Linked DNA regions of Stegostoma tigrinum. The protein of the gene in region 1 purifies or fractionates together with the protein of each later gene. This does not show direct contact. Links are inferred from orthologs where the notes say so. Each region holds a gene or a part of one and is shown in the gene's direction. Other genes may lie near its edges. The genes, in order: ppp1cb, YLP motif-containing protein 1-like, ccdc85ca and capzb.

What was found.
Region 2: the proteins of ppp1cb (region 1) and YLP motif-containing protein 1-like purify together in Homo sapiens (affinity purification with mass spectrometry; 3 studies listed by BioGRID and IntAct, with this or other methods). This does not show direct contact. The link is inferred for Stegostoma tigrinum from reciprocal best matches to the Homo sapiens genes PPP1CB and YLPM1.
Region 3: the proteins of ppp1cb (region 1) and ccdc85ca purify together in Homo sapiens (affinity purification with mass spectrometry; 3 studies listed by BioGRID and IntAct, with this or other methods). This does not show direct contact. The link is inferred for Stegostoma tigrinum from reciprocal best matches to the Homo sapiens genes PPP1CB and CCDC85C.
Region 4: the proteins of ppp1cb (region 1) and capzb purify together in Homo sapiens (affinity purification with mass spectrometry; 3 studies listed by BioGRID and IntAct, with this or other methods). This does not show direct contact. The link is inferred for Stegostoma tigrinum from reciprocal best matches to the Homo sapiens genes PPP1CB and CAPZB.

What each region holds. Positions count from the first base shown.
Region 1 is NC_081357.1:18,405,576-18,413,377, forward strand, and holds the start of ppp1cb (serine/threonine-protein phosphatase PP1-beta catalytic subunit), read left to right. Parts: upstream 1-4,662; 5' UTR 4,663-4,747; coding exon 4,748-4,799; intron 4,800-5,082; exon of another isoform or gene 5,083-5,177; intron 5,178-7,802. UniProt on the Homo sapiens protein: Protein phosphatase that associates with over 200 regulatory proteins to form highly specific holoenzymes which dephosphorylate hundreds of biological targets.
Region 2 is NC_081363.1:17,203,416-17,210,962, forward strand, and holds the start of YLP motif-containing protein 1-like, read left to right. Parts: upstream 1-4,322; 5' UTR 4,323-4,540; coding exon 4,541-4,987; intron 4,988-7,547. UniProt on the Homo sapiens protein: Plays a role in the reduction of telomerase activity during differentiation of embryonic stem cells by binding to the core promoter of TERT and controlling its down-regulation.
Region 3 is NC_081363.1:18,244,691-18,252,620, forward strand, and holds the start of ccdc85ca (coiled-coil domain-containing protein 85C-A), read left to right. Parts: upstream 1-4,872; 5' UTR 4,873-5,780; coding exon 5,781-6,480; intron 6,481-7,930. UniProt on the Homo sapiens protein: May play a role in cell-cell adhesion and epithelium development through its interaction with proteins of the beta-catenin family. May play an important role in cortical development, especially in the maintenance of radial glia.
Region 4 is NC_081381.1:30,770,012-30,778,391, forward strand, and holds the start of capzb (F-actin-capping protein subunit beta), read left to right. Parts: upstream 1-5,218; 5' UTR 5,219-5,368; coding exon 5,369-5,371; intron 5,372-8,380. UniProt on the Homo sapiens protein: F-actin-capping proteins bind in a Ca(2+)-independent manner to the fast growing ends of actin filaments (barbed end) thereby blocking the exchange of subunits at these ends.

The sequences.
Region 1 (7,802 bases):
CAAATTTGTCTTGAATTCCATGATGCTTTCTGAGCGTCAGTAGTTTTACGTTTAGATTCTGTATCTCCCTATGTGCCAATCTTCAAGTCTTCTAATAAATGACAGTCAGCCAGTGGAAGGCAGCAGTCAGAGGAAAACACTGCTGTGATATCAGTGGATCTGTCCATGAGTAGTTGAGACACAAATACAATAGCTGTTAGAGAAGGATGAAAACCCCTTACAAAAGCACAGACCATTTTTCAACTTTGCATGTTATCCTTGTGCAGGGGGCTATGATAATGTTCTCTATATCATTTCGATTTGGATTACTTGAGGCCAAAGCGAAAACAGTATTTTTTTTTCCATATCTCACTTCTTAGACACACACTTTTCTCTTCACTGCCTTCATGTGTTCTTAACGTACTCACCTGAATTTGACACATCAAACACAAGTCCAGACTGATCACAGCAGCGTGAATATAGAAACAGGAGATAGTCATTCAGCCTCCAGGGCCTATTCCACCATCTGCCATAGACCATAGGTGATCTGCATGTTAACTCAGTTTACCCACCTTTTGTCCGTATGTCACATTATGCTTGCATCAAATGATACTATGAATTTATCTTTAAAATTCAATTGACCCAGGAAATCAACTTCTCTCTGAAGAAAATTTGAGATTTACAAAAACCTTTCCATGAAAAAGTTTTTCCTGAATGCATTTTTAAATGGTTTTGTTCAACTAAGGAGGAGATGGCCTAGTTGTTTTATCCCTCCAAAAATTCTGTTCTGGGACATAGGTTTGAATCCTGCCACGGTAGTTGGCGGATTTTAATTCAATTTTATAAAAACCTGGAATTGAGAATCTACTTACGACCAAGAAACCATTGCTGATGGATGAGGAAAAAGCTGTCTAATGGCCTTCAGTGAAGGGAATCTGCCATTCTCACCTCATCTGGCCTACATGTTACTCCAGACCCACAACAATGTAATTCACTCTCAAATGTCCTCTGAAACAGCCTGCAAGCCAATAAGTTCAATGGTACTACAAACAGGCAACAAATGCTGGCTAGCCAGCAACATCTACTTCCCATGAGTGATCCAAAAAAAATTAAGATTAGCCCTTCTTGTTTGGAATTCTACACTGGAAGAAGTGGTTTCTCTGTATCCATCTTATTCAGCCCCTAAATTATTTTCATTGCCATAATTTGTTCTCACTAATAAGATCAAGGGTACATTGTCTAAGCTTGTGCAACTTACAAACCCTAGTTTCAGTGGCAGATTGGCTGAAGCACATGCAGAGATGGACAGCAAAGTATCATCAGTAGTGTTATGAAGCAGCACATGCTCAGTAATAAACTGCTCTGTGACGCACAGCTTGGGTTCCATCAAGGCCACTCAGCTCCTGACCTCATTACAGTCTTGGTTCAAATATGGACAAAAGAGTTGAATTACATTGCCGTTGATATCAAGTCTGCATCCAGCTGAGTTTGGCATCAAAGAACCCTAGCAAAACTCCAATCAATGGGGAACTCTCTACTGGTTTGAGTCATACTGGGCACATAGGAAGATGGTTGTGGTTGTTGGAGGTCAGTTAACTCAACTCCAGGATATCTCTGCAGGTGGTCCTCAGAGTAGTATCCTAGGCTCAGCCACCTTCAGCTGCTTCATTGACGCCCTTGCCTCCATCATAAGGACAGAAGTGGGAATGTTCATTGATGATTGCACAATGTTCAGCACCATTCAGGATTTCTCAGATACTGAAGCAGTCCATGTTCAAATGCAACAAAATCTGGGCTGACAAGTAGCACATAACATTCATGCCACACAAACGCCAAACAGTGACTGTCTCCTATTGGAGACAATCTAACCACCATCCTTTGACATTCAATGGTGTGACCATCACTGAATCCCCCACTATCGACATCCTGGAGATTAGCATTCACCAGAAACTCAACTGACTCACCACATAAACATAGTGGCTACAAGAGAAAAGTCCGAAGCTAGGAATATTTCAACAAGTAACTCACCTCCTGAATCCCCAACGCCTGTCCATCATCTACAAGCACTAGTCAGGAGTGTGATGGAATACACCCCACTTTCCTGGATGGGTACAGCATTCATTCCTTCCACCATCGACATCAGTTGCTGTAGTGTGCAGTATCTATAAGATGCATTACAGGAATTTGCCAAAGTTCCTTAGACATTGCCTCCCAAATCTAATAATCACTCACATGTGGAAGGGCAACGGCAGCAGTTACTTGGGAACACCTGCAAGTTCCCCTCCATGTGACCTACCATCTTGGCTTGGAAATATATCGCCATTCCTTCACTGTTGCTGGGTCAAAATCCAGGAATTCCCTCCCTAAAGCCATTGTGGGTCCACCTACAGCATGTGGACGACAGCAGTGCAAGAAGACAGTCTACCACCACATACTCAAGGGCAACTAGGGACAGGCAATAAATGCTGGCTCAGCCAGTGCGGCCCATGAAAACTTGAAGGAATTAAGGGGGAAGAGTTGATTGCCTTCTACCATTTTCAGACATGGGGTATGGAGGTGAATGAATGGGGTGGCACGGTGGCTCAGTGGTTAGCACTACTGCCTCACAGCGCAGAGATCTGGGTTTGATTCCAGCCTCAGGCAACTATCTGTGCAGAGTTTGCACATTCTCCTTGAGTCTGCATGGGTTTCCTCCCATATCTAAAGATGTGCAGGCTAGGTGGATTGGTCAAGCTAAATTGCCCATAGTGTTCAGGGATGAGTCGATTAGGTTGGTTAGAGGGGGATGGGTCTGGGTGGGATGCTCAAGAGGGCCAGTGAGGACTTGAGTGGCCTATTTTGACACTCTAGGGATTCTATAATGATTTCCATTTAGCTGCATCCACTCCTGTTGAGGCAGCCAGCACACACACATTGTGTTGCTTTATCATTTTAATTATTACAGCATAAAGATTGTGAGCTATTATGCTGCTGGTTGAATGTTCAGAAATTAATCTCAGTTGGTAATCATGAACCACCCAACTGCAATGAAGGGATTCTGTCTTCCTCTTCCACGCTTCCACTTGCTTCCCTTCCTCATGTTCATTTCAAGGTAGTCTCCAGATATACGGTGGCAAGGGCTTTGTTTCTCATGATAATGATGATGGGCTGAATGCCTTCCCTATTTGCTGTAACAATTCTGTGACACAGAGGACTCTTGGACGCTTGAACTTTTGAGTACTTGAGGGGTCCTCTGAGCAATCGAGGCAGGGTAATCATTGCTTTAGTACACCACTGATCTTCTCTCTGATGTTCCCATGTTGGCAGCATGGAACTCATCGCCAGCATTTTCTCCATTCACACCTTAGGGCAAAGAGAGCCATGTGCCCAAATGATATCGCTTGTTTCCAAGTAGACAGGTGTGTTGTGATTGCATAAAGAACAGTGGGAAGATCTGACTGCTGCAGGATGAATAAGTTTTGGCTGCTGACAGGATACCAGGTATTTACCAAAATGATATTTTAGACATTGCAGCAAACCAATGTTTTCGTGAAATGTTAGCTCTTGACATTTCCCTGTTTAGACGTACGGCCCACAGAACCACATACATGCGCAGTCAATGACACTGCATTGTTGGAAAATGTGGTAACCTAGAAATGCCAACTCTGTCCATTTCTGCTAAGATAGAAACAACAGCGTCCCTCTCCTGGACTATATGATCTCTGTCAACTTACTGATGTAATGGTAAATGCTAAACTGGGGAATGTTAACTATTGGGATTGAGATCAGAAGAAATTTCTTCACCCAACAAGTGATGAGCTTGTCGAATTCTACTACCATAGAAAGCAATCAAAGCCAAACATTACAGAGATTGTAGGAATTGCCGATGCTGGAGAATCTGAGATAACATGGTGTGAAGCTGGATGAACATAGCAGGCCAAGCAGCATCAGGGGAGCAGGAAAGCCTTCCTGCTCCTCTGATGCTGCTTGGCCTGTTGTGTTCATAAGGCCAAACATTACATGATTTCAAGAAGGAATTCAGTACTGGGTAGAGCTAAAGGGGTATAAGGATATGGGGGAAAGCAGGAACTGGCTACTGAGATAACAAAGTGAGGAGCTGGATGAACACAGCTGGCCAAGCAGCATCTTAGGAGCACAAAAGCCGACGTTTTGGGCCTAGACCCTTCATCAGAATTGGATGGTCAGCCATGATTATGATGAATGGTGAAGCAGGCCCAAAGGGCTGAGTTAATGGGAACTGCAGATGCTGGAGAATTCCAAGATAATAAAATGTGAGGCTGGATGAACACAGCAGGCCAAGCAGCATCTCAGGAGCACAAAAGCTGACGTTTCGGGCATGTCCCTTGACCACAAGGACTGCAATGGATCAACTTTTCGCGGGCTATTAGGGATGGGAATACGCGCAGGCCTAACCAGCAAAACACATATCCCATGAAAGAATAAAACAAAAGCATCCTATGAAGGCCAGAATGTTCCACAGACTTCCCTGTAAGGAGGAAGCAATACTTGTTCAATGAGCAAACATTCTCATTCACTTTTGCCCTCTGTTGCCGTGTTTATCCCAGTACTGATAGGGTTACGCAGTGAAGAAGCTGCTCTCCTCCGCTGTTGTGTTTTATTCCAGTACTAGCAGGGTTACTCAGCGAAGAAGCTGCCCTCTTCTCTCCCTCTCCGTCGTTGCTGTGTTTTATTCCAGTGCTGACAGGGTTACTGAGTCCCCTCCTCTCTCCCTCCTCTACCGCTGCCCTCGGCTGAAGACTGCTGTAAAATGGCGGACGGAGAGTTGAATGTGGACAGTCTGATAGCTCGGCTGCTGGAGGGTGAGTCGCAGAATCAGTTGGAAAACAGCCTTTTGCTTTTTTTTAAAAAAAATCGTTAATGGTCCCCGGAACAACCTTAGATAACGTTTGTTTGATTTGCGAGGGATCCGGGTTTTTGCATTTCGAGAGGTGGCTCGAAGAAACAGCTCTTCACGGGATTAAAACAAACGCCTTTCCCCCGCCGCCGGTTTTTTTTTGTTAGAATTTGGAATGGTGTCGTTTGAGACGGAAAACCTTTGTACGATTTCGTTATAAAAACACGGAGGGATAGGTTTCGTTTTACCTGAGTGTGGCCTGTTCGGGCTCCGGAGCCTCGGCGTTGTGCTGCTGACAGGGTGGGCGGACGGGCGATGAGGGAGCCCAGGAACTCGGCGCCGGTTTAACCGACGACAATTTCAAATGGTTCCCAACCGCCTGCCTCTCGTGAGGGTGGAAATTGAGTTAGATTTTTTTTCAATTCGGAGTCAAAAGCATTTCATTTATAGTATTCAAAATATTGTAATATTACCCAGAGTTTTTTTTGAGTAAATCTCTTTTTTTTAATAAAACGAGTGAGAATTTTTTTTCCATTTAGGCATCTCTATCGGATCACGGTCTTGTAAAACATTTTAAATATTTAGCTTTGCAAGTTTGAAGGCCTTTGTTCTTTTCCAAAGGCTTGGATTCGAGTTAGTCAATCCCGGCAAGTTTCTATTTGCTGCATTTAGTTAGTGACTAGTAAACGTTTAATTATCGTATCTTTCGTTTGTGAGGGAAACTTTTTTGTCTTTTGATCCTCGTGTCTCCTTGGGGTGTGTCGTTTACTCTCTCATAGTGTTACGGTAAGGAAGGCCGTCGTTGTAGATCTCCTCAATCCATTCCTTACAAGGAGCCTTTCACTGGCTCTTGCCTGATGTCAACTATCTGAAAATATTTCATGTGTTCTTGCTTGTGGGTGTGTTTTTCTGTCCCAGCAGCAACTAGATTACATTGCCCATTTTTCATTCCGAGGAAAAAGGCTATCCCTCATTCCAGCTTAGTTCCATCTCCAGAAGACAATGGACACAGTAAACAAATTAATTTAAGATGGGGATGTAGTGGACCTTTCACTGATGGCTGAATAAGCCAATTTTTGAGAGGCAAGTTCTGCCACAAATGCCAGATATGGAGCTAGAGCATCATTGTAGGTTGATTTTGGTGCTGGTGGCTGTTCCCAAGCTGCGGTAGCCTTGGTCATCGTGGTACCAATTGGATACATCAATGGCTTAACAACAGGAGACACAATATTGGTGGAGGGTTACTTTTCAGACTGGAGGCCTGTGACCAGCAGTGTTCCACAGGCATTGGTCTTAGAACATAGAACATAGAAAAATACAGCACAGTACAGGCCCTTCGGCCCATGATGTTGTGCCGTGGAATGATCCTAATCCCAAAATAAAATAACCTAACCTACATCCCCCCAATTCACTGCTGTCCATGTGCATGTCCAGCAGTCGCTTAAATGTCACTAATGACTCTGCTTCCACGGGCAAAGTATTCCATGCGCTCACAACTCTCTGGATGAAGAACCTCCCTCTGACATCTCCTCTATACCTTCCTCCTAACACCTTAAAACTATGACCCCTCGTGGCAGTCAATCCTGCCCTGGGGAAAAGTCTCTGGCTATCGACTCTATCCGTGCCCCTCATTACCTTGTACACCTTGATCAGGTCACCCCCGCTTCCTCCTTCTCTCCAGAGAGAAAGGTCTGAGCTCCAAATTGGGTCCAATTTTGTTTGTCATTTGTATTAATGATTGGGATGAGAATATAGAAGGCACGGTTAGTTTCTTTTTAATTCATTCACAGGAGAGGGTGTTGCTGCTAGGCAGCATTTATTGCCCAACCCTAATTGCCCAGAGGTCAGTTAAGAGTCAGCCACATTGTGGGTCTGGAGCCACATTAGATTCTTAATTCCAGATATTTATTGAATTCAAATTCTACCCAATGTTATCTGGGTCCAGCAATAATAATGGCATTGTAGACAGTGAAGAAGGTTTTCTCAGATTACAGAGGAATCTTGATCAAATGGATCAATGGGGCAAAAAATAATGGCAGATGGAGTTCAATCTGGATAAATGTGAAGTATTGCATTTTGCTACAACAAACAAGAGTGGGGAGAATGGAGACAACAAGGTGTAGAGCTGGATGAACACAGGCCAATCAGCATCAGAGAAACAGGAAAGCAGACGTTTCGTGTCTAGACCCTTCAGAAATGGGGGAGAGGATGGGGATTCTGAAATAATTAGGGAAAAATGGGGAGGCGGATAGAAGATGGATAAAAGGAGAAGGTACGTGGAGAGGAGACAGACAGGTCAAGGAGATGGGGTAGGAGCCAGTAAAGGTGAGAGTGGGTGGGGAGTTGGGGAAGATTTAGGTCGGTCCAGGCAGTACAGGCAAGCCAAGGAGGTGGGATGAGGCTAGTCGGTAGGAGATGGGGGTGGGACTTGAGATGGGAGGATGGAGAGGTGGGAGGTCAGGCTAGGGAAGTGGGTACGAGCTGGGCTGGCTTTGGGATGTGGCTGGGGAAGGGGAGATTTTGAAACTCGTGAAGTCCACATTGATACCATTGGGCTGCAGGGTTCCCAAGTGAAATATGAGATGCTGTTTTTTGCAACCTTCGGGCGACACTGTTGTGGTACTGCAGGAGGCCTGGGATGGACGTGTAGTCTAAGGAGTGGGAGGGGGAGTTGAAATGGTGAATGGAGACCAGTCACTAATGGTATTCTGCAGTGATCAGTCTGAGGTTCTCTGTTGTCTGTATGTATAAATGATCTCAAGAAAAATGTGGGTGATCTGATTAGCAAGTTTGCAGATAACACAAAGATTGGTGGAGTTGCTGTTGGTGCCAACGATTGTGAAAAGATACAGCAAGATGTAGATTGGCGACTTGGGCACAGAAACGGCAGATGGAGTTTAATCCAGTCAAATGTGAGGTGATGCATTTTTGGAGTATCAAATTTCGGTGTGAATTATGCTGTAAATGG
Region 2 (7,547 bases), on another chromosome or scaffold:
GGTCTCATCCGGTCAGCGGAAGTATTGGTCTTTGATCCACTGAACAGGAGAAATTCATCAAAATCTGTGCCTCTTTCCTGGCCTGTTGCAAGTGATTCAATACACTGTCACAATAGCAGCCACCAAACAAATTATTCTTGAGGTATACTTTACCTCAATAGAGGAGAGAATTGCCTAATGATTGATGATCCTGTAGTCCACGAGAGTTTAAAGTGATGAGCAAGCAAAGATCTATGTAGTTTACAAGGATGTCACTAATTCCATGCAATCAGTCAGATTACAAGCATTACAAAGTATTTGTGGCACAAAAATGTAGCCTCAATATGTCATGTATGTTTTTGTGATTTCATATCTCTTCGTCATACCTCATCATCAGGTCATGCAAAATCTGTAGACAATGAAAGAAAGCTGTTCTGATGAGAAGTCCTTAATCTGTTTCTCTGTAGCTGAGCATTTCCAGTTTGTGTGTCTAGTATCCCAGTAATTTGTTTCTTTTTATCAACATATCCTTGTACTGCTTTCTTTCATGTGCTTATATAACTTCCCTTGAATGCTATTTTCTTCAACTACTTCCTGCATTTCCAAATTTCACATTCCAACTGCTCTTTTGATAAAGAAGTTAATCATGTATTTATTATTGTACAGTAATTCTCACATTTGTTTTAGCTATATTCAGCAGCATCTTTTATGAGAAACCAAGTTAATATTCAGGTCAATGATGGCTCTCCTTTAGATTCTTCATTGACCTGAAAGTTAACTGTTTCTCTACATAGATGTTGTTTCACCTGCAGATTATTATTAATAGCTGTGTTTTTATTTCAGCATTCTAGTATTTTGTTTTTGTTTAGATATTTGTGGCCTTGGCTGAGGTCTTATGATGAAAGATGCTTGATTCATATATGTATCATTTTTAGAGTTTGGATTTGAAAGTAGTGGCATATGGGCATTTTCTCCAGATTTACCAAAATTAGGTCAATCAGTGTTTCTCAAACATTGCTTAAATACAGTTTGTGTAAAGGAGCAAGGATACCTGTTAATGGATGTTTGTTTGTAAGATTTACTGGGAAAAGTTTATAACTGTGAGTGTAAACATTGACAGCCATTAGTTTGGTTTTGGTTTACGATAATCAAGGATTGATTTTGACTTCAGAACCTAGAGATGGAAACATTTTGAACAGTTTCTGAGGAGACCTGATTATCAGAAACACAATATAATTTCTCATCTCGAGGTATATAAAACGGGTAAGGAAATAAATTACCTCAGTTGAAATTTAGTTCATCCAACTTCCAAATCCAAGTGTGTTTGGTTAGAAATGGGCAGATTTTTAAAAATTGGGAAAATCTAAACTTTTAACTTCTGAGAAGATCTCACAGAACAGGAAAGAGTCAGTTGAGTATCACTTAAAGATTTGAAATTGAGGGGTATTTTCTAAGCTGTAAAGTGGCTGTTTTGGAAATAGTTGAGACATTTTGCCATGCGTTTTAGGATCATTTTTCAAAGAAGATATTGAGCTTTACTTTCTTCAGGAGGACTATTATTCATAGAGTTATTAAGAGATCTGGCTGATGAGGGATATCAAAGCTCTAGTCAGGAAAAAGAAGGCAGCATACATAAGGTTTAAGCTATTGGGCTCAAGTGAACCCCTAGATGACTATTAAACCTGTAAGAACACACTTAAGAGAAATCGGACGAGCAAAGAGAGGGAATCAGATGGATCTGGCAGATAAGGTTAAGGATAATCACAAGAGGTTCTCTAGCCATATTAAGAGTAAAAGGATGGCTAGGGAGAGAATAGGTCTCCTTAAAGATTAGCATGGCTGTCTATGTGTGGAGATGAGAGATTTTTAATGAGTATTTCTCCTTAGTGTTTACTGAGGAGAGAATCACGTGGTAAGGAAATAAGGGAAACAAGTGGGGATGTTTTTGCCCACATGTATATTATCAGAGAGGAGTTGTTTGCAGTCTTAAAGTGCATTAAATTCCCTGGACCTGATCAAGTCCATCCTCTGATGGTGTGTGAAGTTAAGGAAGAAGTTGCAGAGGCCCTTGCAGAGATTTTTGCTTCATCTTTAGCCACTGGTGAAGTTCTGAAAGACTGGAGGGTGGCTAATGTTGTTCCATTGTTTAAGAAAGGTAGCAAGACAAGCCATGGAATTACAGGCCCGTGAGCTTGACATCAGTGGTAGGCAAGTTATTAGAGAGGATACTGGGGGACAGGATCAACGAACATTTGGATAGTCAAGGCCTGATAGGGATGGCATGGATTTATGCGTGGGAAGTCATGTCTAGAAGATTTGTCAGGGTTTTTCTGAAGATGTAACCAAGAGGATAATTGAAGGTAGGGCAATGGATGTTGTCTATGTGGACTTTAATAAAGCCTTTGACAAGGTCCTGCATGGCAGGCTAGTCGTGAAGGTTAGGTTGCATGGGATCCACGGTGAGCTAGCTAGTTGGATTCAAAATTGGCTCGATGGCAGGAAGCAGAGGGTGATGGTTAAAGTTTGTTTTGCCGACTGGAGGCCTGTGACTAGTGGTGTGCCACGAGTCGATGCTGGGACCTTTGGTATTTACTTAAATGATCCGGATGTGAATGTACAAGACGTGATTACAGATGATACAAAATTAGGAGGTATCATTGATAGCAAGAAAGGTTATCAAAAATTACACAGGGATCTTGATCGGTGGGCTGAGGATTGGCAAATGCAATTCAATACAGATAAGTTTGAAGTGTTGCACTTTTGAAAGTCAAACCAAGGTGGGACTTGTACAATAAATGGTAAGGTCCTGAGGACTGTTGTGGAACAGAAGGACCTAGGAATACAAGCTCTTAGTTCACTAAAAGCGATGTCATAGGTAGACAGGATGATGAAGAAGGCATTTAGCATTCTTGCCTTCATCGGTTGAGGCACTGAACACAGGAGTTGGAATGTTACATTACAGTTACGTAAGTTGTTGGTGAGGCTGCACTTGGAGTATTTGGGTTTCTGCCTCTACCACCCTTACAGGCAGTGAGTTCCAGAATCTCACCATCCTCTAGGTGAAAATGTTCTTCCGCACATCTCCTATAAACTTCTTGCCTGTTTAAATCTATTCTGCCTGGTCATTCATCCCTCAGGGAGAAAAGTTTATTTTTTATCTACTCTATCTGTGCCACTTAGCTCAATTGCCTGGATGGCTGCTTTACAGGGCGGAGTAATGTTAACTGTGTAGGTTCATTTCCTGCACTGGTCGACGTTACCATGAAGAAGTCTCCTTCACAACCTCTCCCCTCACCTTAACTACAGTGACCGTCGGGTTAAGCCACAATCCGTTGTCTCTCCGGTGTAATCAACGGTCCAGTAAGACAATGGTGACTTTGTAAAAATATACACACCTCATAATTTTGTACACATCAATCGTCCGTTTCCAATCTCTTCTGCTTTAAAGAAAGCAATTGCTAGAAAAGCTCAGCAGGTCTAGCAGCATCTGTGGAGGCAGTTAAAATGTTAGGTTCCGTGACACTTGTTCAGATAAAAACTGACAGAACTGCGCAGGCTGTAAATCAGGAACAAAAACAAAGATGCCGGAAAAGCTCTTCAACTCTTTTTTGTCCTTCACAGATGCTGTCAGACCTGCTGAGCTTTTTGATCCTTCAGAACCCAATGTGCGTACCATCTCTTTTCATAACTGAAGGTCCCCAGGCCAGGTGACATCCTGCAGACGTCCGAGTTCTAACACTGTCTCTCCACATATGCCGCTAGACCTGCTGAGCTTTTGCAGCAATTTCTGTTTTTCTTCAGGATCTGTCAAGATCTTCCTTATTTTTCCGAATTAGCCCGTACAAAACTCTGGAAATGTTCCACCTCTGGTAGGACTTGAACCGGTGTCCTCATGTCAAGGGGGCAGGGACAGTGCGACTGCGCCACTAGTGAGTGCACCCCTTGCCGCAGCTTGTTGTGCCTGTAACAAAAATGGCGTTTCCAACCTTTCAAAAAGTCTTCTCGAAAATCATATTGACCATGCTGTCGTAAAGTAGACCAGAATTGGAACAAGAGATGGTGGGAACTTCAGATGCTGGTGAATCTGAGATAACAAGGTGTAGGGCTGGATGAACACAGTAGGCCAAGCAGCATCAGAGGAGCAGGCAGGCTCATGTTTCGGGCCTAAAGATTTTTGTTTTACTGAAGAAAGGTCTATCCCTGAAAGGTCAGCCTTCCTGCTCCTCTGATGCTGCTTGGGCTGCTGTGTTCATCCAGCTCTACACCTGGTTATTTCAGAAATGGAACATTCTGGCTTTTGCGACAGGAGCTGACGCACGATGCGTGCGCGGGGGAGCGTGACGCGATGACGTAGGAAGTCTGTGTTTTCTCTGGTTCTTCGTGTAATGGCGTTGGTCATCGAAGAATGAAGCAGAATCTGAAATATTGACCGCTAGTTGTGGCTATTTCGGCTCCGATTCGACAGGGCAGTCTGTCAGGATTTTAATAATACCCAATATATTTTACCCCTATCGAGATATTTTCGCTGGTTGAAGTTGTTTGAAGGAAGACTTTAGACCCGATGTATCCGTCATGGGGTCGGTATGGTGGGGGAGGGGCACATCTTCCGTATTATGGCGGAGCCGCTCAGCCTCCACTACCTCAAGGGCCTCGTGTGCCGGCACCAGGCATGGTGGTTGGCGTTGGCTCTACCCTGAGCCCAACCACCGTACCCCCGCCCGTTCCCAGTGCCGGTTTGGCATCCAATTTCCAGACGCTCAGACAACAGCACCTTCAGCAGATGCAGCAGCTGCAACAAATGCACCAGCAGCAGTTACAGTCGGTGCTGCAGCATCCTGCCCATCAAAACCTTCCACCTCCGTCCATACCACCACCACCATTGCCGCCTCATCTGCAGCAACCTCCACCGCCTCAGACCCTCTGGGACACCAGCAGTACCCAAAACCAACTAACTCAGACTAACCAACCCACTCAGCAACATCCAGATTTCTCCTCGGTGGCTTTACAGGTGAGGCGAACGAAAAGGAAACGACAAAACCATTTCAGACGTATTACTATTTAACAGGCCTTGAAATATACGCGCTGTCAGATATTAAGAAATGCGGAGATCAGCCAGGAACTAAAATTGTGAATAAAACAAATGTGGATGCTGGAGAAACTCAGCAGGTCTGGCAGCATCTGTGGAGAGAAAACAGGACTAACCTTTCAAATAACAGTGACTCTTCAGAACTGATGGTTAGAAAACAAATCAGAATTTAGTTGACTAGAAGTCAGACTGCATCTTAAGTAAATTTAAAAACAAAGTACTGCAGATTCTTGAAATCTAAAACAAAACAAAGTGCAGGTCCAGCAGCATCCGTGGAAACAGAAACAGTTGATGTTTCCATTCAGATTTGATATCTAATTTATTTTGTTGGAAATGTGAATGGGTTGTTGTAGAGCGTAGAAAACCTAGTTTATATTGCACTGATGGTTTTTGATCTCTCTGAAACCAAACAAGTCATGAGAAAAGTTGCAATAGTCTGATGTACCACCTACATGCAAAACTACCTGATTAGGTAGAAGGACAAATTTGTATTTTCCAGCTGGACATTAAGTATTGCAGGAAATTGTACAGATACCCATGGATTAGTCAGAGTATAATATTCCATGCTCTATAAGGTCATAGTGACAGAAAATGCACAAAAGGAGCCAGAATATGGATTGATTTCCGATTTCCCTTTTCTTGCCTTGTTTCTCTTCCACCAGTTTTACCTGATCGGCCAAAAATCCATCAGATTTTTTTGTTTTAAAGGCAGTTAATTTGGAAGCTTTGTGTGAGAGTGAATCAGATAGTTGGCCTTTTCTTGTTTTGGGAGATAGTCTAGTTTCTGATGGAATTGAAGATGGCATTGTTGACAATGATAATTCTTGTTTTGAATAATAGCCTGTTTTAATCTGGCATTAGATTTTTCTAGAGTCATCAAATTGTTGTCAGAAAGTTTCTGAATTTAGAAAGATGAGTGAATATGCTATGATAACCTAAAACAAACGTAGTGAAAAGCAAAGATAATGGGAACTGCAGATGCTGGAGAATCCAAGATAACAAAGCATGGAACTGGATGAACACAGGCCAAGCAGCATCTTAGGAGCACAAAAGCTGACATTTCGGGCCTAGACCCTTCATCAGAAAAGGGGGATGGGGAGAGGATTCTGAAATAAATAGGGAGAGAGGGGGAGGCTGCCTGAAGATAGAGGAGAAGATAGGTGCAGAGGAAAGTATTGGTGGGGAGGTAGGAAGGGGATAGGTCTTTCCAGGGAGGACGGACAGGTCAAGGTGACTTTCCATATCAGGCAGATGTTCACCTCCACATCCGCCAATGTGGTATACTGTATCCGCTGTACATGGTGTGGCTTCCTCTATATTGGGGAAACCAAGCAGAGGCTTGGGGACCACTTTGCAGAACACCTACATTCGATTCGTAGTAATCAACTGCACCTCCCAGTTGCAAACCATTTCAACTCCCCCTCCCATTCCTTAGACGACATGTCCATTCTGGCCCTCCTGCAGTGCCACGATGATGCCACCCGTAGGTTGCAGGAACAGCAACTCATATTCCGCTCGTGAACCCTGCAGCCCAATGGCATCAATGTGGATTTCACCAGCTTCAAAATCTCCCCTTCCCCTCACTGCATCCCAACACCATCCCAGCTCGTCCCCGCCTGCCTAACCTGTTCTTCCTCTCACCTATCCCCTCCTCCCACCTCGAGCCACACCTCCATCTCCTACCTACTAACCTCATCCTGATCCCTTGACCTGCCTGTCCTCCCCAGACTGTCCTATCTCCTCCCTACCTCCCCACCCATACTCTCCTCTGCACCTATCTTCTCCTCTATCTAACTTTGGTCCGCCTCCCCCTCTCTCCCTATTTATTTCAGAATCCTCTCCCCATCCCCCATTTCTGATTGGCCTAGGCCCGAACCGTCAGCTTTTGTGCTCCGAAGATGCTGCTTGGCCTGCTGTATTCATCCAGCCCCACACTTTGTTGTTATAGTGAAAAGCAAAGTTTTGTGTCTTGAGAAAGACTTGTGCCTTAAAGATATGGATCGTTTCATTTCTGAGTGCTAGTGAGAAACAATTTTGACAATCCCTTATTTGTGGTATCTTTTAGATGTAATACGTCATCTGGTGTGCAGCAACAGTGGGTGACAGTTGTCCATTGTCACTGAAGATAATTTAATAAACCTTGAATTGTTTGAGCTGTTAATCACCAGGGTTTACAGTACCATGTCTCTGCTGCAGGTTTTATTTCTATTTTTAAAAAAGTATTTCTCCAACTAAGGCTGAAGATATTCTTCTCATCTGTACAAAATAATCACGAAGCCTATTGCAATTCTTAGTGCAAAAGCTTATTGCTAGCTTGTTTTGTATCTAGTCAGTGATTCCTATGTTGATAGACTGACAAAGTACTGGCAAAGGTGTGTATATTTGGGTGAAATTGTGCAGTGTGTCTATCCTGTGAACTTAACTGCTGAAGATTTGTTCTTTTAGTTGATGTCACCCACTGATTGAAATTGGCAAATCTATG
Region 3 (7,930 bases), on another chromosome or scaffold:
GGCGCAAACCATTTCCACTCCCCCTCCCATTCTCTTGATGACATGTCCATCATGGGCCTCCTGCACTGCCACAATGATGCCACCCGAAGGTTGCAGGAACAGCAACTCATATTCCGCTTGGGAACCCTGCAGCCATATGGTATCAATGTGGACTACACCAGCTTCAAAATCTCCCCTTCCCCTACTGCATCCCTAAACCAGCCCAGTTCGTCCCCTCCCCCCACTGCACCACACAACCAGCCCAGCTCTTCCCCCCCACCCACTGCATCCCAAAACCAGCCCAACCTGTCTCTGCCTCCCTAACTGGTTCTTCCTCTCACCCATCCCTTCCTCCCACCCCAAGCCGCACCCCCAGCTACCTACTAACCTCATCCCACCTCCTTGACCTGTCCGTCTTCCCTGGACTGACCTATCCCCTCCCTACCTCCCCACCTACACTCTCTCCACCTATCTTCTTTACTCTCCATCTTCGGTCCGCCTCCCCCTCTCTCCCTATTTATTCCAGTTCCCTCCCCCCATCCCCCTCTCTGATGAAGGGTCTAGGCCCGAAACGTCAGCTTTTGTGCTCCTGAGATGCTGCTTGGCCTGCTGTGTTCATCCAGCCTCACATTTTATTATCATTGATTAGAAAGTATCCTGGTTCAGGTCTTGTTGAATTTATCAGTTATACTGCAAACTGACATACATGGATTTCGATGTGAATTATAAGTAGGCTATTAATAATGCAACTGATACAAAGGCTGGAAATTTACATCAGGTTGATCAGCATTGACGAAAGGATTTGGATGAATTGGGCAGGGGTCAGTGATGGAGGATCAGGAGAATAAAGAGACAGGAGAAAAAGATACAAGATCAGGTTTTGATCAGGACAAGGATCTCTTGTTGGAGGGGTACATTTGAGTGAAGAGCAGGAGAATTAAAACTGGTCATGACCCCTACAGTGTAGGCAAGGCCCTCAATTATTTAGGAATTGTTCATTTAACTCCTCCTGACTGTTCGGCCATTCAATGAGATTGTCACTAATCGAGTTAGTGGAGGTGATGGTATAATCATTAGACTATTAATATGGTAACCCAGGTAATGTTCTGGGGACTTAGATTCAAGTCCCACAACGGCAGATGGTGGCCTATAAACTCAAAAAAAATCTGGAATTAAGAGTCTAATAGACTCATTGAGTCATACAGTACAGAAACTCATCTGCTAAAGATGACCATGAAACAGTTGTCAGGAAAATCTCATCTGATTCACTAATGTCCTTTATGAAAGGAAACTCACCTGGTCTGGCCTACATGTGACTCCAGACCCAAATCAATGCTGTTGACTGTCAACTGTCCTGTGGGCTATTAGGAATGGAATATGAATGTTAGGTTAGCCAGCAATGCCTACGTCATGTGACTGAATTTTTAAAAAGCGAATTCCAGATAGTCAGCTTTATCTCACATCCCTGGTTACACGCAGTAAAGAATTGATTAGTCGGTGTTTGTTTCACACTGTGGAGACTGATGTTGCCTGGGAACCCTGCAACCCAATGGTATCAATGTGGACTTCACCAGCTTCAAAATCTCCCCTCCCCCACTGCATCCCAAAACCAGCCCAGCTCGTCCCCGGCCCCACTGCATCCCAAAACCAGCCCAGCTCATCCCCGCCCCCCACTGCATCCCAAAACCAGCCCAGCCTGTCTCTGCCTCCCTAACCTGTTCTTCCTCTCACCCATCCCTTCCTCCCACCTCAAGCCGCACCTCCATCTCCTACCTACTAACATCATTCCACCTCCTTGACCTGTCCATCCTCCCTGGACTGACCAATCCCATCCCTACCTCCCCACCTATACTCTCCTCTCCACCTATCTTCTTTTCTATCCATCATCGGTCTGCCTCCCCCTCTCTCCCTATTTATTCCAGAACCCTCACCCCATCCCCCTCTCTGATGAAGGGCCTAGGCCTGAAACGTCAGCTTTTGTGCACCTGAGATGCTGCTTGGCCTGCTGTGTTCATCCAGCTCCACACTTTGTTATTTTGGATTCTCCAGCATCTGCAGTTCCCATTATCTCTAATGTTAATGGGGTTGGATTTGATCTAATGATAATGCCTAAAACAGACCTGTATCCTGGTTTACTATCAATAATCCACACATTTGCATTCCCCTTTTATCTCCGTTTTTCTGGATTCCATCTCCACCCATCTGCTCACCCACCCATATCATCTTTGGCATAAATACCACTTTTCCCTAGCTGCTATCAATTCCAAAGAAGAGTCACCTGCCTTGAAACATTAACTCTGCTTTCTCCACAAAGATGCTGCAAGGACTGCTGAGTTTCTCCAGCAATTTTTTTTTAGTTTCTGTATCAAACATGCCTGAAGTTACAACCTTTGGACTTGACAGACTGATGATGGGTACTATGCAGGAAGGAGCAAAGAGGCTAGAGAAGGGCTAATGTATTTCTCTAGCCAAGCGTTATCTGAGGCGGAGGATCAGTCAGCAAACTAACAGCTGCAGGTGTGTGACAGGAAATTGAAAACAATGGCCAGGCGGTGGCTTTAAGAATGAAGAAAGCCTAATTCTTAAATGACCATTTCCCACATAACGGAAAAAAATTACTGTAATCTTTACCGAAGTGGAATCTGGGTAAAAGTCTATCATGTCCGCTGTCTAGGACACTGAAACTGAAGTTTACTTTGCGTCTGAAATTATCTTTTAAATGGGCATTCTAACAAGGCAGATCTGTGCTGCCAGGATAATGATTATCTCTGTTGGAATTTTGACATTGTAGGATTTGTTGCAGCACGAAAAAATGTTGTCAAATTCTTAAGTATGATCCGGAGATTCGATCAAAGCCAGACAACTGGACAGAATAATGAGATCGTCTGCGTGGATGTGATGGAGAAACATGACAACTCCCTGAGCTGTGCATTTACCATTTTCCGGCCTCCCATTCGTTCTGTCCAATTCCGGCAAGGAATCATGGTGTAAAAAGTGACCATCCCGCTCAGTGTTTCCGCGCTTTCCCTTTGCGAACCGTATGGAGCTGGACCGAATCTAATGGTTATTCAATTCCTCTCGATCTGGGGCCCGGTGCGTTCCACATCGTCGCTGAGGTTAAATCTTTAGGTGCAAAACAAGTGCCAGCTCAAATCCTGGCCTGATATCGCATTTGGATCCGCGAATGGGATTCTCCCCATTGTGTTCTGGGCTGTGCGCTTTTCAATCACCTCCCACGAAACTCATCTGAAGTAAAACTATGTTGAAGCACATTCCAGTAGCAGATAATAGGGGAATGGGAACAAAATCTGGCAAAGCGCGGCAGATCTGGCAGCATCTGTGAAGGAAAATACAGAGTTAACGTTTCGGGTCCGGTGACTCCGAATAGGGGAATGGTATCCCCCAGTTTGAAATTCTTCAATATAGAGACTGGTGAAAACACATGTGTCTTGCATGGAGGGGAACCGGCCCGAACTCCTGGGGGTGTGGGTGAAATTTTGGACACAAACATATGACACACCATCCAAAAATGAAGCAAATAATCCCCAAGCAACAGCTCGAAATGAAATGGTCAGACCGGACACCCTCGCCTCCCCAATCTTTGTACAAAAAGTTTCAAAGATCTCAAGTCGAAACTGCATTATGTAACGCAGAATGCTGTTGATTGGGGAAGGGGGGGGGGGTTGCGCGGTTTCTATTCACACCATTTCCTTTCTTGTAACTGCAGGAAACACGACTCAAGAAGTGAACAGGACAACGTTGAAAGGAAGGGGGTGGGGGCGTGGAGAGAGAGCGCGACAGACAGGCTCGTCGTGTCAGTTACAGCCTCTTACCTCCCCGCAGGGTTTCAGTCTTCCCAAAGATATAAAATGATCATTGAACTGCATGACCTCGAACTTAACAAACAAATAGACCTTGGTAAATAATTGCTGGTTGAGTTTAAAATTGTACATCAGTAGAGAATTGGTTCCCAAGTAATATCGCCCACTTTAATTTCTCTGTGATAACCAGCAGACAACGGCTCTATTTATTTCTCTCAGGTATATATCGAATTGAACTGAATCTGCTTCTTACACCCTTCCAAGCTTTAATCTACATCAGACACACAATTGTTCTGAGGAAGGGTCACTGGGCCGGGAACATTAACTCTGCTCTTTCTCCACAGATGTTGCCAGACCTGCTGAGTTTCTTCTGCAAAAATATTCATACATGATCTAATCTATAAGTGAAGACAAATACATAGAAAGAGAAATTGCTGGGAAAACTCAGAAAGTCACTGGGCTCGAACTGTTTTCTCTCCATAGATCCTACCATAGCTTTGAGTTTTCCTCGCAATTTCTGTTTTTGTTTCTGATTTCCAGAATCCGCAGTTCTTTTCCTCAAGAAACGGTTCCGTACGGACTTTGCAGAAAATACATTGGAATTTCGACATTCCTCATTCAAGCTTTAATGCAGTTGCAACAAAAAAAGGCATATTCTAAACACGGAAGGAAATTACTTACATTCCCATTTAGGCTACCAGGGTGTGTGGAAATGAAACAGCACTCTCATGTTTTATGAAAAAAAAAACTGAAAAGAACTGTGGCGTCTGTAAATCAGAAATAAAAACAGAACTGAGGAAGGGGTCACCGGACCCGAAACGTTAGGTCTGATTTCTCTGCACAGATGCTGCCAGAGCTGCCGAGCTTTTCCGCCAATTTTTGTTTTGTTTCCTCCTCATGTTTTTTTTTGTGACAGACCTTAGCAATGCCCACCTTCCCCAGGCTTTAGTGAGTGCCTCATAAGCCAGTCGTGAACCTTGGAATGTTGTATTACACAACTGACTGGAAAGTGGTGTCTGCTCCCAGGTAGGGAAGGCTGTGAGCCCATAGGTGATACAATCGTATGTAAACTTCTAGCCTCACGTGATAAAGCGTAGCCTGTGCCGTGGAGGCTCGACCTGTGCATGTGTCCGTGACACACAAGCCTCTAGCTACCTGCTTTTTAATTCCGTTTGCCTTCGCTTCGATTGGACCCCGCGGTGGGAGTGTGGAATAATTTGCACCATCATTCCGTGGCAGCTGCTCTCCTGGGAGTAGAGAGAGAATGTGAGTGCAGAGAAGCGAAAGTTCTTTGTGTACCGGGTATCGGGTTTGTAGGAACCAGTTGCACTTTTGTGTGCATCCGACAGGGAGTGAATGTGGATCTTGGGGCGTGAATAAGGCAGAGAGGGAGAGAAGGTAGACTATCATCCCGCCCCATGTTCGACAGGATTTCCCTTTTCCGACAGAAATGCGCCGCTCGCTTCTCCTCTCCCCGCAGAAAACAGAATGACAAACCGGTTTGACATCACGGTGTGTTTGTGTTTGAAGAGCCAACCGCAGGCAGGCCGGAAATCTGAGCACTGCACTGCCGGTCAGGAAAAAGGCTCCCCCCCCCCCCCGACCCGCTGAATAAAACAGACCGACGCTGGAACTGAGCTGGGAAACTGAGATCGTTTTTATTGAAGTCTTTCGTGCCTTGTCAGACACACACACACACACACACACACAGACAGGGGCAGACATTCTACTAGACAGTTGGGGAAACCATTCCACCTCTGCCTAAAGATAAAAGTGACTGCCCAAGTAGGAGGGAAAAGGTGGAGGAGAGTGTATTTTTGATCAGGGTCAAACATGAGCTGGTGCTGTTCCAACAGGAGGAGGTTTGCAAAGTGAAGGGTTTATAATACCGAGATTATTGGGAGTCAGTTTTGATTGCAAATTATTGGGAGCCGATTTTAGTTGCAAATTATCGGGACTGATTTTGCTTCTGGGGCGATCATGGCGAAAAATTCGCCGGACGGCTCCAGGGAGGACCTGAGCAAGATCCCGGACGAGGAGTTGGTGAAATGGGGTAAAGCGGAGCTGGTGAGGAGGCTGAGGAAGAGCGAGCAGGAGAGGATTAGCCTGATGCTAGAGCACGGCAACCTGATCAAGGACGTGAACCGGCGGCTGCAGCTCCACCTGCACGAGATCCGCGGCCTGAAGGACATCAACCAGCGGCTCCAGGACGACAACCACGAGCTCCGCGAGCTCTGCTGCTTCCTGGACGACGACCGGCAGAAGGGCAAGAGGCTGGCCCGCGAGTGGCAGCGCTTCGGCCGCTTCGCCGCGGCCGCCGTCTGGAAGGAGGTGAGCGCCTCGCAGCACAAGCTGCGGGAGCTGGAAGCCAAGCAAGAGGCGCTACTCCAGGACAACCGGGAGCTCAGAGAGATCGCCCTCATGCTGGACGACGAGCGGCACGGCGCCGGCAGCCGCAACTCCATCGACAGCCAGAGCAGCCTGATCCAACTGAATGGGGGCTCGGCCACCAGGGACGTGGGAGACGGCAGCAGTACGTCCAGCGCAGGCAGTGCCGGCAGCCCGGACCACCACCATCAGCACCACAAGGCTGGGGACAAGGGCCCTGCCCCCGTCGCAAGGTCCACCGATGACCTCTCGGGAGCCCCCCATCATAGGAGCATCCCCAACGGACTGAATGGTAAGTCCCGTTCCTTTAACACATTAGCATTTGTCCCTGCAACCTGTACCCCCTTTTTTAATGTCAACGCTCCATCCTGTTTGTATCTTTACTAAAAGTTCAACCAGGGACCAAGCTTTGGAGTTTTATTGTTGCCTGGATTTGGGTGATAAGCGGCCACATTTTCAACTTTTCAATAGCCCCCCCCCCCATACATTTCCTGCTGATATGCTATTTTGTCTTGATTTATTATTCACCTGCACTTAACCTTAGTGAAAGTTTTCTTTTGCATGCAGGTCATAACGTAGAGAGATCATAGGGTGATTGAACAGAGCGAGGAATTGGATTTTTCTTTTAGAATTAGCATTAGAATTAACCCTTATTTGCCACATACGCTCAGCTGCAAAGATGGTGCGCCAAAAGCAAGATCAGCATTAGATTTGAAATTTGAGAGGTCCATTCAGAAGCCTACTAACAGTGGAGAAGAAGCTGTTCTTGAGCCTGTTGATACCAGGTGTTTCAAGGTCTGCCCGCAGTAGAGGTTGGACCTCTAACTGGGCTGGGACGGGTCATCGACGTTGGTTGCCCTTCCGAAGCATTGGGAAGTGTGGATGGAGTTAAGGGATGGAAAGTTTGACAGCACACCATGCGTGAAATTGAAATGTACATATTAAAGTTGCCAAAAAAAATTATTCTATAAAAACCGTGGGTGCTGGAAATCAGAAATTGCCCGAAAATCTCATCAGGTCTGGCAGCATCTGTGGACCGAAAGCAGAGAAAACATTTTCAGTCGGGTGACCCTTTACAAGAAATGATAACTTGGCTTTATCCTCACAGATGCTTCCAGACCTGAGTTTCTCCAGCATTTTGAGTTTGTTGTTAATGTTGCCAGGTGGACTTTGTGGCCAGCCCATTCCAGACTAAAGTTGATTTAAAAGTTCCTTAACATTATGTGGTTGGCCTGATGAAGCACTGAGCCTTAGTTGGGATGTCATTTTATTGCTGTGCAAGACATTGGTAAGGTTGCTTTGGAGTATTGCCTTACAATTCTGGTCACCCTGTTATAGGAAGGATGTTATTAAAAAGGAAAGGGTGCAAAAAGATTTACAAGAATATTACCCAGACTGGGTGGTTTGGATTATAAGGAGAGGCTTGGGTATGGAAGGTTTGAGTTATAAGGAGAGGCTTGGGTATGGAAGGTTTGAGTTATAAGGAGAGGCTGGTAACCTGGGACATTTTTCTCTGGAACATAGCACGCCGAGGGATGATCTTATAGAGGTCTAAAAAATCATGAAGGGCAGAGATAAAGTAAATATCCCAGGTGTTTTCCCCATGGTTGGAGAGCCCAAAACCAGAGGGTTTCAGGTGAGAGGGGAAAGGTTTAAAACGGATCTGTGGGGCAACTTTTTCACACAGAGGGCGGTGCATATATGGAACAAGCAACCAGAGAAAGCGGTAAGCGGGGAGTACA
Region 4 (8,380 bases), on another chromosome or scaffold:
ATGGTTAGGAAGTTTACAGATGACACCAGTTGATTGATTGATTCTATTGTTACATGTACCGAAATAGAGTGAAAAGCTTTCTTTACGAGCGGTACAGGTAGATTACAGCAAGCAAAGGATGTACAGATCAAAGAGACTTAGAGGCATACAGGTTACATTATTTGAGGCTAGAATCCATTCAGCAGTCTGATAACAGCAGGAAAGAAGCTGTTCCTGAACCTGCATGTGCGTGTGTTCAGGCTTCCGTGTCTTCTGCCTGACGGAAGTGGTTGTAGGAGGTCATAACCAGGGTGCAATGAGTCTTTGATGATGTTGGCCGCTTTTCTGCAGCAGCACTTTGTGTAAACAGAGTCCATGGAATGAATATTGGCTTGCGTGATGGTCTGCACACAACCTTCTGGAGTTTCTTACGATCCTGGGCAGAACAGTTGCCATGCCAGGCTGTTATGCACCCAAACAGTATGCTTTCATTGATGCATCTGTAGAAGTAGATAAGGAACCTTATGGACATGCCAATTTCCTGAGTCACCAGAGGAAATTGAAGCGTTGTTGTGCCTTCTTGACTGTCTCATCTATGTGGGAAGTCCAGGACAGGTCTGTCAATTATTGTCACTCCAAGGAACTTGATGCTGTAAGCCCACTCAACGTCACTTCCATTGATGTAGATGGGGACATGTTCCCCTCCCTTCTTTCTGAAGACAATGATGAGTTCTTTAGTTTTGCAGATGTTGAGAGACAGATTGTTTTCATTGCACCACATCCCCAAGCCTTCTACCTCCCATCTGTATTTTGACTGGTTGGGAATTTCGCCACACCTTTGTAGGTGCACAGGGAGTACAGTAGGGGGTTGAGGACACACTCTTGGCGTGGCTGCAGTGTTGAGTGTTATTGTGTAGGATATGCCGTTACCTATCCTCACTGATTGCACCCTGTGGGTCAGAAAGCTGAGGAACAAGTTGCAGAGGGTGGGGCCGAGACCAAGGTCACTCAGTTTTGAGATCGGTCTGGAGGAGATAATGGTGTTGAAGGCAGAACTGCAGTCAGCAAGCAGGAGTCTGACATAGGTGTCTCTGTTGTCCAGGTGTTCCGTGGATGAGTGCAGGGCTAGGGATATGGAATCCTCTGTGGATCTTATGTTGGCAGGCAAACCGTAGGGGATCGAGGCAGGCTGGAAGACTGGAGTTGATTGGGCCGTGACCAGCCTCTCGAAGCACTTCATGATTATTTAAGTTAGAGCCACTGGGCAGTAGTCATTAAGGCACACTGCAAGTGTTTTCTTGGGTATGAGGATGATGGTAGTCTTCTTGAAGAAAGTGGGGACTTCGGCTTGTAGGAGGGAAAGGTTGAAAAGATGTTGGTGAATACCTCAAAATCGGTGGTACAGTGGACAGCAAAAAAGGTTACCTCCAAGTACAATGGGATCTTGATCAAATGGGTCAATGAGCCAAGGAGTGGCAGAAGGAGTTTAATTTAGGTAAATGTGAGGTGTTGCATTTTGAAAAAGCACATGAGGTCGGGATTTATACGCTCAGTGGTAAGGTCCTGCGGAGTGCTGTTGAACAAAGAGACCTTGGAGTACAGGTTCATAGTTCCTTGAAAATAGAGCTGAAGGTAGACAGAGTAGTGAAGAAGACATTTGGTATGCTTGCCCTTAATGGTCATTGAGTATTAGAATTAGGAGGTCATGTTGCAGTTTTACAGGAGATTGGTTTGGCTACTTTTGGAATACCATGTGCAATTCCGGTCTCCCTGCTATAGGAAAAATGTTGTGCAACTTGAAAGGGTTAAGCAAGATTTATAAGGATGTTATCAGGGTTGAAGAGCTTGAGCTTTACAGAGAGGCTGAATAGGCTGGGGCTATTTTCCCTGGAGCATTGGAGGCTGAGGGTTGACCTTCTAGAAGTTTATAAAATCATGAGAGGCATGGATAGGGTGAATAGGCAAGGTACTTTTCCCAGAGCCAGGGAGTCAAAAACAATTTAAGCATTGGTATAATATGAGAGTGGAAAGATTTAAAAGGATCTAAGGGGCAACTTTTTCATTCAGAGGTTGGTAGGTATGTGGAATGAGCTGCCAGAGGAAGTGGTAGAGGCTGGTACAATGACAACATTTAAAAGACATCTGGATGGGTACATGGATGGGTAGGAGGGGTTAGAGGGATATGAGCCCAAGTACTGGCAAATGGGATTAGATGAATTTAGGTTATCTAGTTGGCATGGATGAGTTGGACTGAAGGGTCTGTTTCCATGCTGTACAGCTCTGTGCCTATGATGCTCTGTCATAGGAGAAGAAATTGAACTACTAAGACATGAGCAGAATTTGACACAGTCCAAATTGGAGAGGCTTTAACTGTGTCCCACATTTAGATATTTGAAAATGAAGAATTGGAATCCCTTGTAAAAGAGACAATTTTGATGAGATTTGACAGCCTACAATGTTTCCAACATCTGGGTGGAATCTGACTTGACTGCATCAGTTGCTTATAGTGCAATCCATGAGGTACTCAACTACTGTTTCTCCGTTAACTGATGCATTTGTTAATCTTGAATGCTGGCGTCTAAATTTAAATATGATGCAAAATAATTATCTTACCTTTTTATTGTACCTATTTTAGTTATTATCGCTTAGGTTAGTTTTGTTCAACTTTGTATAATGAACATTTTTTGGTGTTTCAGTTCAATCCTGGTATCCTGCTGCTTTCTTTTGTGCTTTTTTTTCTGATATCATTCTGTTTTTTTTACAAGATGTTGGCCAATGAAGCCAAATCACAATAACAACAAGTTTGTCCAGGATTCTCATAACAGGGACCATAACAATAGTCAATAGTAACCCTAATGTATTGCCATTTTCCTTTCTACTAAATGCCAGTTGGAGAATCTCACTTCTCCTTTCAGTTATCTCTAAGTGTAACCCTCCAAAAATATTGAAACATGAAACCTAACAGAAGATTGACATACTTATGAAAGCTGAACTTGATATCACCAAATGTTCTTACTGTGCACAGTTATATTTACAACAAATGCTTCCAGTTTTCTCATGCCCCTATATGCTATTCTTAAATCTAACCTATGCTTCCTGTTATAGAAAGTGTGTAAATGGTGAGTGAAGACTGAATTAGGATGAGGATTAAAACATATGTTACACCAAAAATAAACTGCTTTGTGTGTTTAAGTGGGTTTGTAATATGTCTTATTCTTTTTTATGGTAAATATATATTTACAATTTAATATTTATAATTTAAAACATAACTTATTCAGAGTGGTGAATTAAAGTGATTTATTTTGGCTCCTTGGATTTCTGTGGTGTGGTCCACAGTCATGAAGACGAAAACAAATTATCGACTCCCTACAGTGCAGAAAGAGGCCATCCAGCCATTAAATCACCACCAACCCTCTGAAGAGTATCTCACCCCATCCTCACAATCCTGCATTCACCATGGCTGACCACCTGACCTGCATATCTCTGGACACTACAGGCCAATTTAGCATGGCCAATCCACTTCAGCTGCATATCTTTGGACTGTGGGAGAAACCCCATGCAGACTCTGGGAGAACATTCAAACTCCACATGGACAGTCACCCAAGGCTGGAATCAAACCTGAATCCCTGGCACAGTGAGGCAGCAGTGTTAATCACTGAGCCAATGTGTCACCCTATTTGTTTCCTAATCTGCACTAAATTAATTTCCCAATAATCAATTTGTTGGAATTGTTCCAGTGCCTGAGAGAAGAACCTTGTCCATTATGACCAAGTAATGGAAGTTGTATAAAGATAAAATATCATGTTCTAATCACCAAAAGTACAGTTTGTGCATATTGGTTAGATCTGTTGTTGTGCTTTGGCAGTGCCAGAATTCTGAAGGGAGGAATACTGTAAACAGTTGTATGAAAAATAAATGTAAGTGTTATATACACATTCAAGGACGTTGGAGAATGAATGGACAATATTTTACCTAAATGGGAAGAGGGTGAGTGGATATTGAGGATGCTGATAATGAAGTGGGGTGTGTGCAGATACTGACAGTACAGCAGACAGTGTGCAAATATTGTGGATAAGAACAGTGCATTGAAGACTGTGTGCAGATGTTGAGATATTGATAGTTCAGTAGGGTCTGTGCAGATATTGGCAGTGTATTGGGGAGTGTGCAGAAATTGAGGTCATTGACAGTGTAGTGGGGGCTGTCCAGATATTGACAGTTGACAGTGCATTGGAGAGAATGCATTTATTAAGGATATTGACAATGCATTGGGGGAGTGCACAGAAATTGAGTACGTCAATGGTGTAGAGGGAATAATGCAAATATTGACAATTGACAGTGCATCAGGAAGTATGCATATATTGAGGATATTCACTGCGGTGGGGAGTGTGCAGAAATTGAGGACACTGACAGTACAGTGGGGAATGTATAAATTGAGGATATTGAAAGTGCACTGGAGTGTATGCATGTGTTGGGAATATTGACACTGCAGCAGGCAGTGTGCACATATTGAGGATATTGTCAGTGCAGTGGTGAATATGCAGATATTGAGATTTTGATAGTGTGCAGGGAATGTACAGATATTGAGGACATTGACAGCATTTTGGGGATTGTGCAGGAATTGACAATATTGACACCAGTGGGGAGTATGTGCATGTTGTGGATATTGACAATGCAGTGGGGAGTGTGTATATATTGAGGATATTGAAAGTGCATTGGGGAATGTTCAGGTATTAAGAATATTGAGCCTGCAGCAGGGAGTGTGCCGATGTTGAGCATATTGACAGTGCAGTGGTGCAGATATTGAGATTTTGGCAGTGTGGGGGTGGGGGAGTGTACATTTATTGAGGGCATTAACAATGTATTCGGGAATATACAGACATTGATAATGCCATGGGGAGTGTGCAGATATTGATAGTGCAGTGGGGAATATGCAGAAATTGAGGATATTAATACTGCTGCACTATTAATATCAATATTGATAGTGCGTTGCGAAGTGTACAGATGCTGACAGTGCCCTGATCAATGTGCAGATATTAAGGGTATTGATAGTGCAGTGGGGAGAGTATATATTGAGGATATTGAAAGTGCACTGGGGAGTGTACAGATAGTGAAGACATTGACGATCAGTGGGGTATGTGCAGGTAGTAAGGGAATTGACAGTGCAGGGGTGGTATGCAGACATTGAGGGTATTGACAGTCGTGCGGGAGGAGGGGAGAGAATCTACTGGAGCACCACTTCCGCATTGCAAGGCCCATACTTGGGCAAGCTGCAGCTTCGGACGCTGATTGGTTGAGCGCGGGTTGTTTGCGTGACCCGGATGATCGCTCGGGCCCGACGAAGAAACCGTCCGCGAGAGTGCCGCCGCCAACCGTCACCACCGCCATCGCCATGGTGAGTATCGCCTGGTCCCGGGGCAAGCCCTATCTATTCATAGCCCCACTTCCCGACACAGGACCCTCTTTTCAGCTGGTCCTCGCATGGAGGACGCCGCGAGTTAGATCCGGCTAGCCAACGGGGTGAGGTAGAGAGGAGACACGGGGCGGGAGGACTGCTCGGCCCGACCCGGCCCTGTGTCTGCATCGCCGCTCACCTCCCGGTAACGGTTCCTAAATCCAGCTGCCCTTCAGTTTATCTTGTTGATTCCTTGGGGTAGCGATCAACTATCCTCTCTCTCCACATCGCGCCTTGCTGTAAAGTGGAGGCAAACTTCCTGCCAAATACTGTTCCTCATTCAGACCAGACCAGATCTGACTGACGGAGGGAGGGAAGATCAACTGTGAGCTTTTGGTCTTCTGGACTGTCACAACCTCAACCTGCGCCAGTGTCCTAGTTGGGATAGTCCATTCAAGTCTTGTGTTGCAATTTTTTTTGGTGTTATGATCCTCTGACCATTCAACGGACGTTCACTGAAGGCAGTTGGATTCCTTTTTGATGTCAGATTGTTGTGAATTCAGGGTTCCCCAATTGTGCATCTTAAAGGAAATGCGGTCCAACGCAGGACAAAGTTATTGAGCGCCCTTGCATTGAAATTGTAAGCTATTAAATGGAGTTTAGATGGATGCTACTCCACAGTGGTGAAAATTGAGTGATTAACAAAATAAATTTTCAGACCCAGAGATTAGTTTACAACTGGTTACAGTAGAAGATCATACTTTTTTGGGTTTTCCTTAAACCAAATCTATTTTCTAATATTTATTATTGTTCAATGAAAGATAATAGCACTTTCAAACTAACGCTTGTTGGTGGAATGATTAGTTTGAGAGTCAGATATGTATATATTTGAACACTTAAGCGATTTTAATTTTTCTATCTGTAATACTAAAAAGTACTTGGTGTCGTTTTGCCTCCTGGATTTATCTTCATTGGTGGCACATCAGAGGCATTTCACTGTAGAAATGAGGAAGTTATCTTTTGACAGATTGTGTTATTCATTTGTTGGGTTTAGACGAGGATTGTAATTTTCAAGATCTTGCATGATCTGTTTTCTGAACTGTTTGAATAGATTGCATTGGGAAAAGTTTTAATCCTTTATTCATTTATTTTAACCAATCTAATCTCAAAATATCAATTCGTGTCTCAATTTCTTGGTCTCAAGGTCTTTTTGTAGACCAAATGACTAATTGCTGCTCTGTATTTGCTGATGAGCCTTTTTATCAAGAAGTTGATTGTGAATTAGTCTCCAGATCTCAACTCAAACCAAGCTATGGCACTGTTTTATTTTATGTGACTTGAATACATGTCAGATTAGTCAATAACAAACTTCCATTTCTCTTAGCCTGGGTAACTGGCATGACCTCGTTCTCATTTCTGATGCTTCTAAAGAAATGCTGAAATCTTTGAATTCAGAAAATCCCTTGCTTTGTTTTATTGCTTTTGCATAGACTGATTGAAACTTGTTGTGCTTTTGATCCCCTTGTAACAGAAATATTCAAGCAATGATTGCGTAAAATGTGACATTTTCAGACCGTTTGCACTTTGAGTAGTAAAAATATAGATTCTGTTTTCTTTCAAACTTGGATTGTGTTGGAGGAATTTCAGAGTTTATGACACTTCTTTAATGTACTAGCTGTTATAAGTAGTTTTGTTGTGAGAGCAGTTTCATATGATAATCAAGGACTTGCACAGTATTGAAGTCTGCAGTGTTGTCTGAATATTGCATTTAAGTCTCATGACAGCATCTCTTTGAATAGATCCTTTAAGTTATTGATCTTGAGGCATATGAAATGTTTTTTGTTTTTATCATCACCTGATTGTACTTAACCTTGCTTTAAAAATGATGAATATGAACAAGCAATTTGCTTCTTTGCCTTTGAAAGTACCCCTCTGAAACCCTTCTTCAGGTGCGAGTTGACTTGGGAATAATCCTCCCTCTTGTTCCACCAACCTTTTGATGTGCAGAACCAAAGGATGTTGCATACATAGAGACTAAAATCAGTAACTCAGAGGGTCAAGGAAGAATAGATTGAAAGAAGGAACTTGCAATTTAATGCACCTTTCATTGCCATGGAATGTTCCAAAGTGATTTACTGTCAATGCATAACTTCTGAAAAACAGTTACTGTTATTGGCTGCCACATATTCTACATTATATGCATATACAAAGGCCCCACAAATATCAATGTGATTGCCATCAGAAATCTGATTTAGTAATGAGAATTGAGGATAAATACTAGCCTGGACACGAAGCATACTCTGTGTTCTGAGAGAATGTTGCATTGGATCTTCTACACCCATGCCAGAGACTTGTATGAACATGGTTTGACATCTCATCTGAAAATTCAGCAAACTTTATTAACTGGCACCAGTGGGACCAGGAGTCATAGAGTCATACAGCATGGGAGTGTGGCGATTGAGGAAATATTCCATATAATCAAGAGATATGCATACTGCATTAAACTCTGACCAAGTGAAGCTTCGAGACATCAATATGCCTCAAAAAAAACGATGTAAAAACATCAACAAACCTTCTAAACGCAGTGTAAAAACACGTAGTATGTAGCATAAATGTAATGTGAGGTATACGTACCGCTGTTATATGTTATTAAGAGCATAAATACTCAGACATCAATGTAGATTGCAGTATTTGAGGGTTGGTGGTTTATAAAGAGTGCTGGTAGATAAGGGGCCAGTTAAAACAAAGTTTGCTGTATGATACTGCATCAATATTACACTAGAGCCTCAACTGAGATTATGTTGTCAAATCTCTGAAAGGGGCTTGTACCCAAAGCCTTCGTTCCAGTGGTGTTTTGGAAATTTAGGATGCATATCTTTATTGAGAATGCTTAGTCTCCTTCATTTGTTGTCCTTGTCTTTCGTACTTGGTGTGAAATATAACTTTTGCAGCTTGGACAAGAAGCTATGTCATATGTTTGGGTGTGTGAGGGTGCACCTGCTCTTCTGT